Linked DNA regions of Sus scrofa. The protein of the gene in region 2 interacts with the protein of the main gene of each other region in a pairwise test. Links are inferred from orthologs where the notes say so. Each region holds a gene or a part of one and is shown on either strand. Other genes may lie near its edges.

What was found. The genes of interacting proteins can lie anywhere in the genome.
Region 1: the proteins of YWHAG (region 2) and FAM53C interact in binary tests that used the Homo sapiens proteins (3 or more experiments, as listed by UniProt). The link is inferred for Sus scrofa from reciprocal best matches to the Homo sapiens genes YWHAG and FAM53C.

Annotation. Positions count from the first base shown.
Region 1 is NC_010444.4:140,337,087-140,340,731, forward strand, and holds part of FAM53C (protein FAM53C), read left to right. Parts: intron 1-1,154; coding exon 1,155-1,939; intron 1,940-3,094; coding exon 3,095-3,352; 3' UTR 3,353-3,645.
Region 2 is NC_010445.4:9,993,485-9,997,666, forward strand, and holds the start of YWHAG (14-3-3 protein gamma), read left to right. Parts: upstream 1-1,317; 5' UTR 1,318-1,549; coding exon 1,550-1,636; intron 1,637-4,182. UniProt on the Homo sapiens protein: Adapter protein implicated in the regulation of a large spectrum of both general and specialized signaling pathways. Binds to a large number of partners, usually by recognition of a phosphoserine or phosphothreonine motif.

The DNA.
Region 1 (3,645 bases), on a different chromosome or scaffold from region 2:
TTTGAGAGGGAGTAGCAGACGATATATGAGACTATGTTTTCAGTTTCAGATGGTTTCTCATAAAGGAGGCAGTAGAGTACAGTGGTTAAAAGCCCTAGCTTGAGCGAGTTTCCCTGGTGGCTCAGTGGTAACAAACCCGACTAGTATCCATGAGGACACAGGTTTGATCCTTGGCCCCTCTCAGTGGGTTGAAGATCTGGTATTGCTGTGACCTGTGGTGTGGGTCCCAGATTCGGCTCGGATCTGGCATTGCTGTGGCTGTGGTGTAGGCTCACAGCTGTAACTCTGATTCAACCCATGGCCTGGGAACTTCTGTATGCCGCGGGTACAGCCCTAAAAAACAAAAAATAAAAAAAATTTTTAAAAGACTTAGGTTTAGGAGTTCCCGTCGTGGCACAGTGGTTAATGAACCCGACTAGGAACCATGACGTTCCAGGTGTTCTATCCCTGGCCTCGCTCAGTGGGTTAAGGATCCGGTGTTGCCGTGAACTGCGGTGTAGGTCACAGATGTGGCTCAAATCTGACGTTGCTGTGGCTGTGGTGTAGGCCTGCAGCTATAGCTCCAATTAGACCCCTAGCCTGGGAACCTCCATATGCTGCAGGTGCAGCCCTAGAAAAGACAAAAAAAAAAAAAAAAAAAAAAGACTTAGCTTTGGCATCAGACAAATCTAGGTGTGAATACTGCTTTGGTCATTTGATTCCTACATGACTTTTGGCAAGTTATAGAACTTCTCTTATCTGTGAAATGGGGGTAGTTATAGAACCTAACTCATGAGATTTTTGAGACATGTCACATAGAGTACTCATTACATTGTGTGGCACGTAGTAAGCTTTTAAAAATATATTAGCTATCACAGGAGTTCCCAACCTGGCTTAGTGGTTAACGAACTTGGCTAGTATCCATGAGGATGTGGGTTCCATCCCTGGCCTCTCTCAGTGGGTTAAGGATCTGGCGTTGCCGTGAACTGTGGGGTAGGTCGCAGACCCGACTCGGATTCTGAGTTGCTATGGCTGTGGTGTAGGCTGGCAGCTGTAGCTCCAATTCAACCCATAGCTTGGGAACTTCCACATGCCATGGGAGACAAAAAGACAAAAGACAAAAATAAAAATGTTAGTTATCATTAATATTAATTTTTATTCTGAATGCCTTCCAGAAGGTGCTTCCTGGAGGGGTCTGCCCCCATGTTCCTGTGCCGAGTTCCAGGACAGCCTCAACCTCAGTTACCATCCCTCAGGCTTGAGCCTGCACCTCAGACCACCCAGCCCGGGAAGTTCCCTACAGGAGCAGCCCCTCTCCCAAGTCCTAAGCCCTGAGCCCCCAGACCCAGAAAAGCTTCCTGTGCCCCCTGCCCCTCCGTCCAAGAGGCACTGCCGCTCACTCTCAGTGCCCGTGGACCTGTCTCGCTGGCAGCCGGTGTGGCGGCCCGCCCCCTCCAAGCTGTGGACTCCCATCAAGCACCGGGGCAGTGGTGGAGGGGGTGGGCCGCAGGTGCCTCACCAGAGCCCCCCGAAGCGGGTCTCCAGCCTCAGGTTCCTCCAAGCTCCCAGTGCCTCTTCTCAATGTGCCCCAGCCCACAGACCCTACAGTCCCCCTTTCTTCAGCCTGGCCCTGGCCCAAGAGTCCTCTCGTCCCTCTGCTGCCTCCCCGCAGAGTGGCTCCTGGGAGAGTGATGCTGAGTCCTTGTCACCTTGCCCACCCCAGCGCCGCTTCTCCCTGTCGCCCAGCCTGGGCCCACAGGCAAGCCGCTTCTTGCCCTCTGCCCGGAGCTCCCCCGCATCCTCCCCGGAGCTGCCCTGGCGACCTCGAGGCCTGCGCAATCTTCCCCGAAGCCGCTCACAGCCTTGCGATCTTGATGCCCGAAAAGCTGGGGTCAAGCGGCGCCATGAGGAGGACCCGCGGCGGCTGCGGCCTTCCTTGGACTTTGACAAGATGAATCAGGTGGGACCTGCAGGACCAGGGAGGCTTGGATGGGAGTAGGGGCACTGTTCCGTTTTCACTTTTGTGCTGTCCTCTAGCTCTGGGCCCTTCCTGGGTCTCCCCAGGAGCTCCTTTCTCTCTGAGCTTTTTGCTAGGGTGTTCTGTCTCCATTTACCCAGGACTATCCCGGTTTTAGCCCTGAAGGTCCCAGGTCTTGTGAAAAGCCTCAGTCCTGGGGGGTTCCAGAGAAACTTGGGATGAGACCTCTGTTAAACCTTCCAACAGAGATCCCACATTGTCATGCTAGAGGCACTTTGGCTCCTCTCTGAGAAGGCAAGAGCTACCAAAGCTCCATCATCAGTGCCCCACCCTCCTCACACATGGCTGGCTTTACCCCTTGCCCTTCGCTGCTTGCTGTGGGTCTGTGACGGCTTAAGCATGGCAGTCTGCTACATCATTCATCTGCCCAACAAATGTTTTTGACTTCCCAGTGTGCGTGCAGTTGTTGTATGCACTTGCCCACTTTTTCCATGTTCTTCCTTCTAAATTACTGGGTTGCAAACCTTTTCGAATAAGTGAGAACCTATTCACTCATTCATAGAATCATTCATTCAACTAGTCAGCAAACAATATTGAATACCTGCTATGTAGCAGGCTCTGAGGAGGCACTAGCAATCCAGTAGTGGAATAAGCAGACAGCATTCCTGCCCACGTGAAGATTTTATTGATTAATTGATTTTTGCTTTTTAGGGCCGCACCTGCGGTATGTGGAGGTTCCCAGGCTAGGGGTCTGATAGGAGCTACAGCTGCTGAAGCCTCAGATCTGCGTCTGCGACGTACACCATAGCTCACAGCAACACCAGCTCCTTAACCCACTGAGCAAGGCCAGAGATCGAACCTGCAACCTCATGGTTCCTAGTCGGATTTGTTTCCGCCCCACCACGACGGGAACTCCCATGTGAAGATTTTAAACCTGCTTCTAATCTTGAATCTCATAGAAACTGTGGGCTCTTTCTTCAAAGAAATGTGCATGTATACCAAATATCCCAAATTTTATCAGGGAGGTCATGACCTCACCCTAATGCTTAGGACTCCTGCCTTCAAGGCACTCTGGGCCAGGGTTCTCTGGGAAGTGAGTGTCTTTCTTTGCTTTAATTTTGTTTGTTTGTTTGACAGAAACCATACTCAGGAGGTCTCTGTCTCCAAGAAACAGCCCCGGAAGGCAGCAGTAACTCTCCACCGTGGTTCATGGCCTGTAGCCCCCCGCCTCTCTCTGCTTCCTGCAGCCCCATTGGGGGTTCCTCCCAGGTGCTGAGTGAAAGCGAAGAGGAGGAAGAGGGGGCCGTGCGGTGGGGGCGGCAGGCGCTGAGCAAGCGGACACTGTGCCAGCAGGACTTTGGGGACCTGGACTTGAATCTGATTGAGGAGAACTAAAACTGAGAGGCTGCTTCCTGGGGCCACACAGACTGACTCTCTTATGGCTACTAACAAGTGTCGAGGTCCCAAGGCCCGGGGCCCAGCCTGGGAATGGGGGTGAGTGGAGGGCTCCGACTCAGGGCAGCCGGAAATCTTCTCGCTCCAGGAAGCTCGACCATGCCGAGAGACTGGCCGGGACAAGATAAACGGAGCTGGTGGCGGGAGGGACAGCCCCAGAGCAGACCCTCCCCGTGGCGGCCCTGAGTGTGAGTATCCCTGCCGCCAGAAATCAGTGGGCAGGGAAGGGATGG
Region 2 (4,182 bases):
TGGAAATTTCCTTGTGGGAAGTAGATTAAGGATCTGCTATTGCTGCAGCTGTGGTGCAGGCTTCAACTGCAGGCGTGGGTTTGATCCTTGACCCAGAAACTTCCATATGCTGTGGGTGCAAAAAAAAAAAAAATTCTTTATTACTTTCTAAAGTACTCTACACACTTATCTTTACTTTGCCTATTTTCTTGGGCAGGGATTTTATTTGATTTGTTCTCTGCCGTACCCTATTGCCTAGAACAGTGCCTGGAACATTGTAGGTGTGCAATAAGATAAGTGCTGGATAAACGAAATAAAACGTGCAGTCAAAACTGTGGGTTGTGTGAGCTACATGGAATGTCAAAAAGGGAAGCACATGAGCAAGAATTAGTCAGATTGACCTCAGCGTGTATATTCTAGGCGGGCAGAAAAGAGTTGGTTAACCCCTACACACAACCCAGTGTTGAGCAGCCATTGGCTAACTGAATTGAATCTTTAATGCTCCACCCTGGAGAGGAAGGAAGGGGCTCACCAGGGGTAGACCCGCAAACTACTGCTGTATCCTTTCTACAAATTGACCAGGACGCCCTCCTGGTATTTGTCTTTCCAGATTTCCACCTGTCAGGTCCAAGAATCTCAAGGTGGGGATGCGGAGGGAGCTGGAACCTTGTGGGGGAGGGTGACAGTCCCCCAAGGTTTGGCTCCTTAATTCAACCATCCCTCAGGCGGTCACCACCCTCACAGTTTTAATCAATAGTGTACGGACCCCACCTCTCCAGACCCCCACCCCCCTCCATGTCCTGCTATTTTATCTCAGAAACATGGTCCAGGGCTGAGGCCCTGGCCCCCTCCTCCAGTAATTTCCCCAAGCATGTGGGGCGGGGCCGTGAATCAGCACTCACTGGGACTGATGCATCCTCCGTCCCCGCCAGGGGTCCCCAGCGGCCGCAGAATTAGGAACCCCCCCCTCCCCGTCCCATCCTCCTCTGTCTGAGCGCTACGACAACAGGGAGATGTAGTCTTGGCTGCCCCTTTGTCCCTGATCTCCCCAACGTATCGCCGCACCCGAGGATGAACTACAACTCCCAGGGGCCCAGGCGCCGGAGGCCTGAGAGGGCCGCGGTCTGCAGGACGAAGGGTGGGGGCCGTCTGGAGAAGATAGGGCACAGCAGCCGGGGTGAAGGGAAGCACCCGGCTCGTTGGGGGGCAGCGGGGAAGGAGGGGACGCCCAGAGAGCGGCGCCGAGCTGAGTTGGGGAGGGGAAACCCAAGGAACGGAAGGGCCGGGGCGGGGGTGCGCGGGCGGGTGGGCGGGGCCGTTGCGTCACGCGGCGTGGGCGGGGCCGCAGGGGGTTGTCCGCCCGCGGCACGCACAGCAGTCGCAGCCGCCTCGCGCCCGGTCCCGCGGTCGCAGCTCGAGCCGCAGCCTCTGCGCCGCCACCGTCGCCGCCTCAGCCGCTCGCTTCGTGGGTCGGTCCCTCCGGCACACGGGCTCCAGCCGCGTCGCAGCCGTCCCCTGAGCCCCTCAGGCCGCCCCGGTCTCCTTGCCCGGCCCGACCCAGCCCGTGAAGATGGTGGACCGCGAGCAACTGGTGCAGAAAGCCCGGCTGGCGGAGCAGGCGGAGCGCTACGACGACATGGCCGCGGCCATGAAGAACGTGAGTTTCTCCTCCCCTCCCCCCGCCTCGCCCCAGCCCCTTTGCAGACGCGGGCCTTCGTCGGCTCTTCCGGGGGACTGGTTGCCTGTTGCAGCTGCAGGTCTCTCGCCCCTGAGGGAGCTGGGGAGGGTCCCGAGAGCGCTGAGGACCGGGTGTGACGCGGCCTCGCTCCGAGCGTCCCCCGGGGCCGGCGGCGCTGTCTCCTCAGCCCTCCTCGCGCTCGGGCTGGGGCGGGGTCTTGCAGGGCTGGTCTGGGCAGCCGGCTCTCCGGCCGCCGCGCCTTTGGCTTTGCCGGGGACCTGAGCCGGGGCCACGCGCATCCTTTGTGCCCCACTTCCCCTCCTCCCAGCCTGGGCGTGTGGGGGCGGGGGACCGCATGGATGCGGTTCCTCTTTTCTCCCTGGTGTCTGGGCGGCGCCTTTTCCATTCACTCAGCAGGTCTCCCGGTTTTCTGATGCTCCCCCTCTCCCCAAATCTTCCCACTGTCTCTCGAGACAGGTCCTTTAGAGTCTCCCCGGTAAAAACGTAGGCTGTCCTGAAAACCTGGGCGCAGTAGTACAAAATCGAAACCTCCTTGCTCACGTTTTTCTTAACAAAAGGCTCCTCTTTCTTTACCTCAAAGCAAGCCCTCTTGATTTTAGGAAGAGGGGAACGTTTGTTTGGCTAGCTTTTTCATTGATTGTTCTTAATATGTTATCTCTAATTTTTCCTAGTGTTTTTTGTATTGAAAAGGGTAGGTATTGTCTTAAAAATAAAGGTTGTGAATTTAGCTGACTGGTTCAATTTGTGATAATATGCCGTTTCTCTTTTAAACACAGGCACACATCTGTTGAAATTCCTATAAGTTGAAAAAATATTCTCTCTGATCTGATACTGCAAACAAAGCGGTGGTGGGAGGCAGTATCAAGTCATTCCAGAAGATTCTGCATTTGTCATATTGCAGAGAGCCTAGACTGGGTGGAGGCTGGGAGGAGTTATTTTAAAGGGGAAAAAATATCTTTTTTTTTTTTTTTAATTTGTTTTGTTAGATATATCTGAGGCTTAAAAAAAGCTATCACATCCTTATTGGTGATGAAAAGAGAATACTGATCTCCAGTTGTCGCATTTTGTCTGGGATGCAGATTCCTGCCTGTATTGCACCATTTTGTAACACTACATTTGTCTAATGGGCAGACAACCAGTTTGATGGTGGGGGGGAGTATTGACCATTATTAAATGAAACCTAGAAAATTATCTAGTGATTTAGGTCTCCCACTATTTTAATAAATAAGTTAAATACTTCTTGCCTTATGTAACAAAGGTTTTAAAGTGCATCTCCTGTGTGTAGCAGATGCAGGAGTGTACCTTGCGTGTTAAATCTTTTTAATGAAGCAGTGTAGGTATTACAGATTCATTAATTCTTGAATAATTTTACTGGTTCACAAAAGATGACAATACTGATGCCTTTATATTTAAGTCATCTACATTAATAAGGGGTTTTTATTCCCTTAAGGAAGAGAATTGACTCTGAAATTGGGAGCACTGCTTTATTAAGAGACTGCTACAGTTGCTGTCTTTAAAGTGCAAATGATAGAAGTTATACTTTAATAGATATCAGTATCTTCAGTTCAATTATTTAGACTCTTCTAATTTTTCCATATTTCTAGTTTCACAGGAAAGCGAGTGACCTCGCACCTATATCCATAGCAACCCAGTGATGTCACACAATGACACAGAGGCTGCAATGCACCTAAGGGCTGGTAGGGAGTATTCAGATGGCATTTGTCCAAGGTAATGCAGAAATTATCAGATGAGCCAGGTGGAATTGAGTACTTTATGTTCTATCAGATGAGAATTGGTCCCCAAAATAAAGTATTTCATTTATCCTTAGACTTGCAAATCAGGGACCTCTAGATATGCCTGTTCTCCTTCCTATTTCTAGTTTTCTCAAAAGTTTAAGGATACAGTAGTGTTTTTAAACATTCATCTCACTATTAAAATTGGGCAATGAAGGAATAAAGTTAAAAATTTTAAGCAATTTTTTTGTGATCATAGTGCAGGGGTGGGTTGTATACATGGCTTTATTGCAAATTATTAATGTGGCAGGTTTTAAAAAAACCTTTAAAAAATTACAACTTCCTACTCGGTCATTTTCAGTAAATGTCAGGGAATGAGAATCCGTTTCAGAACACTTGAGCTTGGGATTGGGAAAAGTTTTCTTTTGCTGTGTTGATGCTTCTGCTCTTTGACGACAGAGCATGGAGGAAAGAACAGTTCATAAAATAAAGCAGACATTTTTCGAACCTGTTTACTGTGATTCTGAGGGTTAGGCTTACCTTTGACCTTCACTTTCTTCCTCTGTAAAATGGGTCAATACCTACTTGAAAAAGTTGCAAGGATTAAATAAAAACTGTAGATGCTTTAAAAAAGTAACTGTTTCTTCCTCTCTTTGTAAAGGTTATCACTGAATTTGGAAAATAGAGGAAGATACAAAAAAAAAGTCCTTCCCTTAAGGTTGGAGTAATCCAGGTGCTAGAGTGATGAAATTTATTTGAATTTAATGAAAT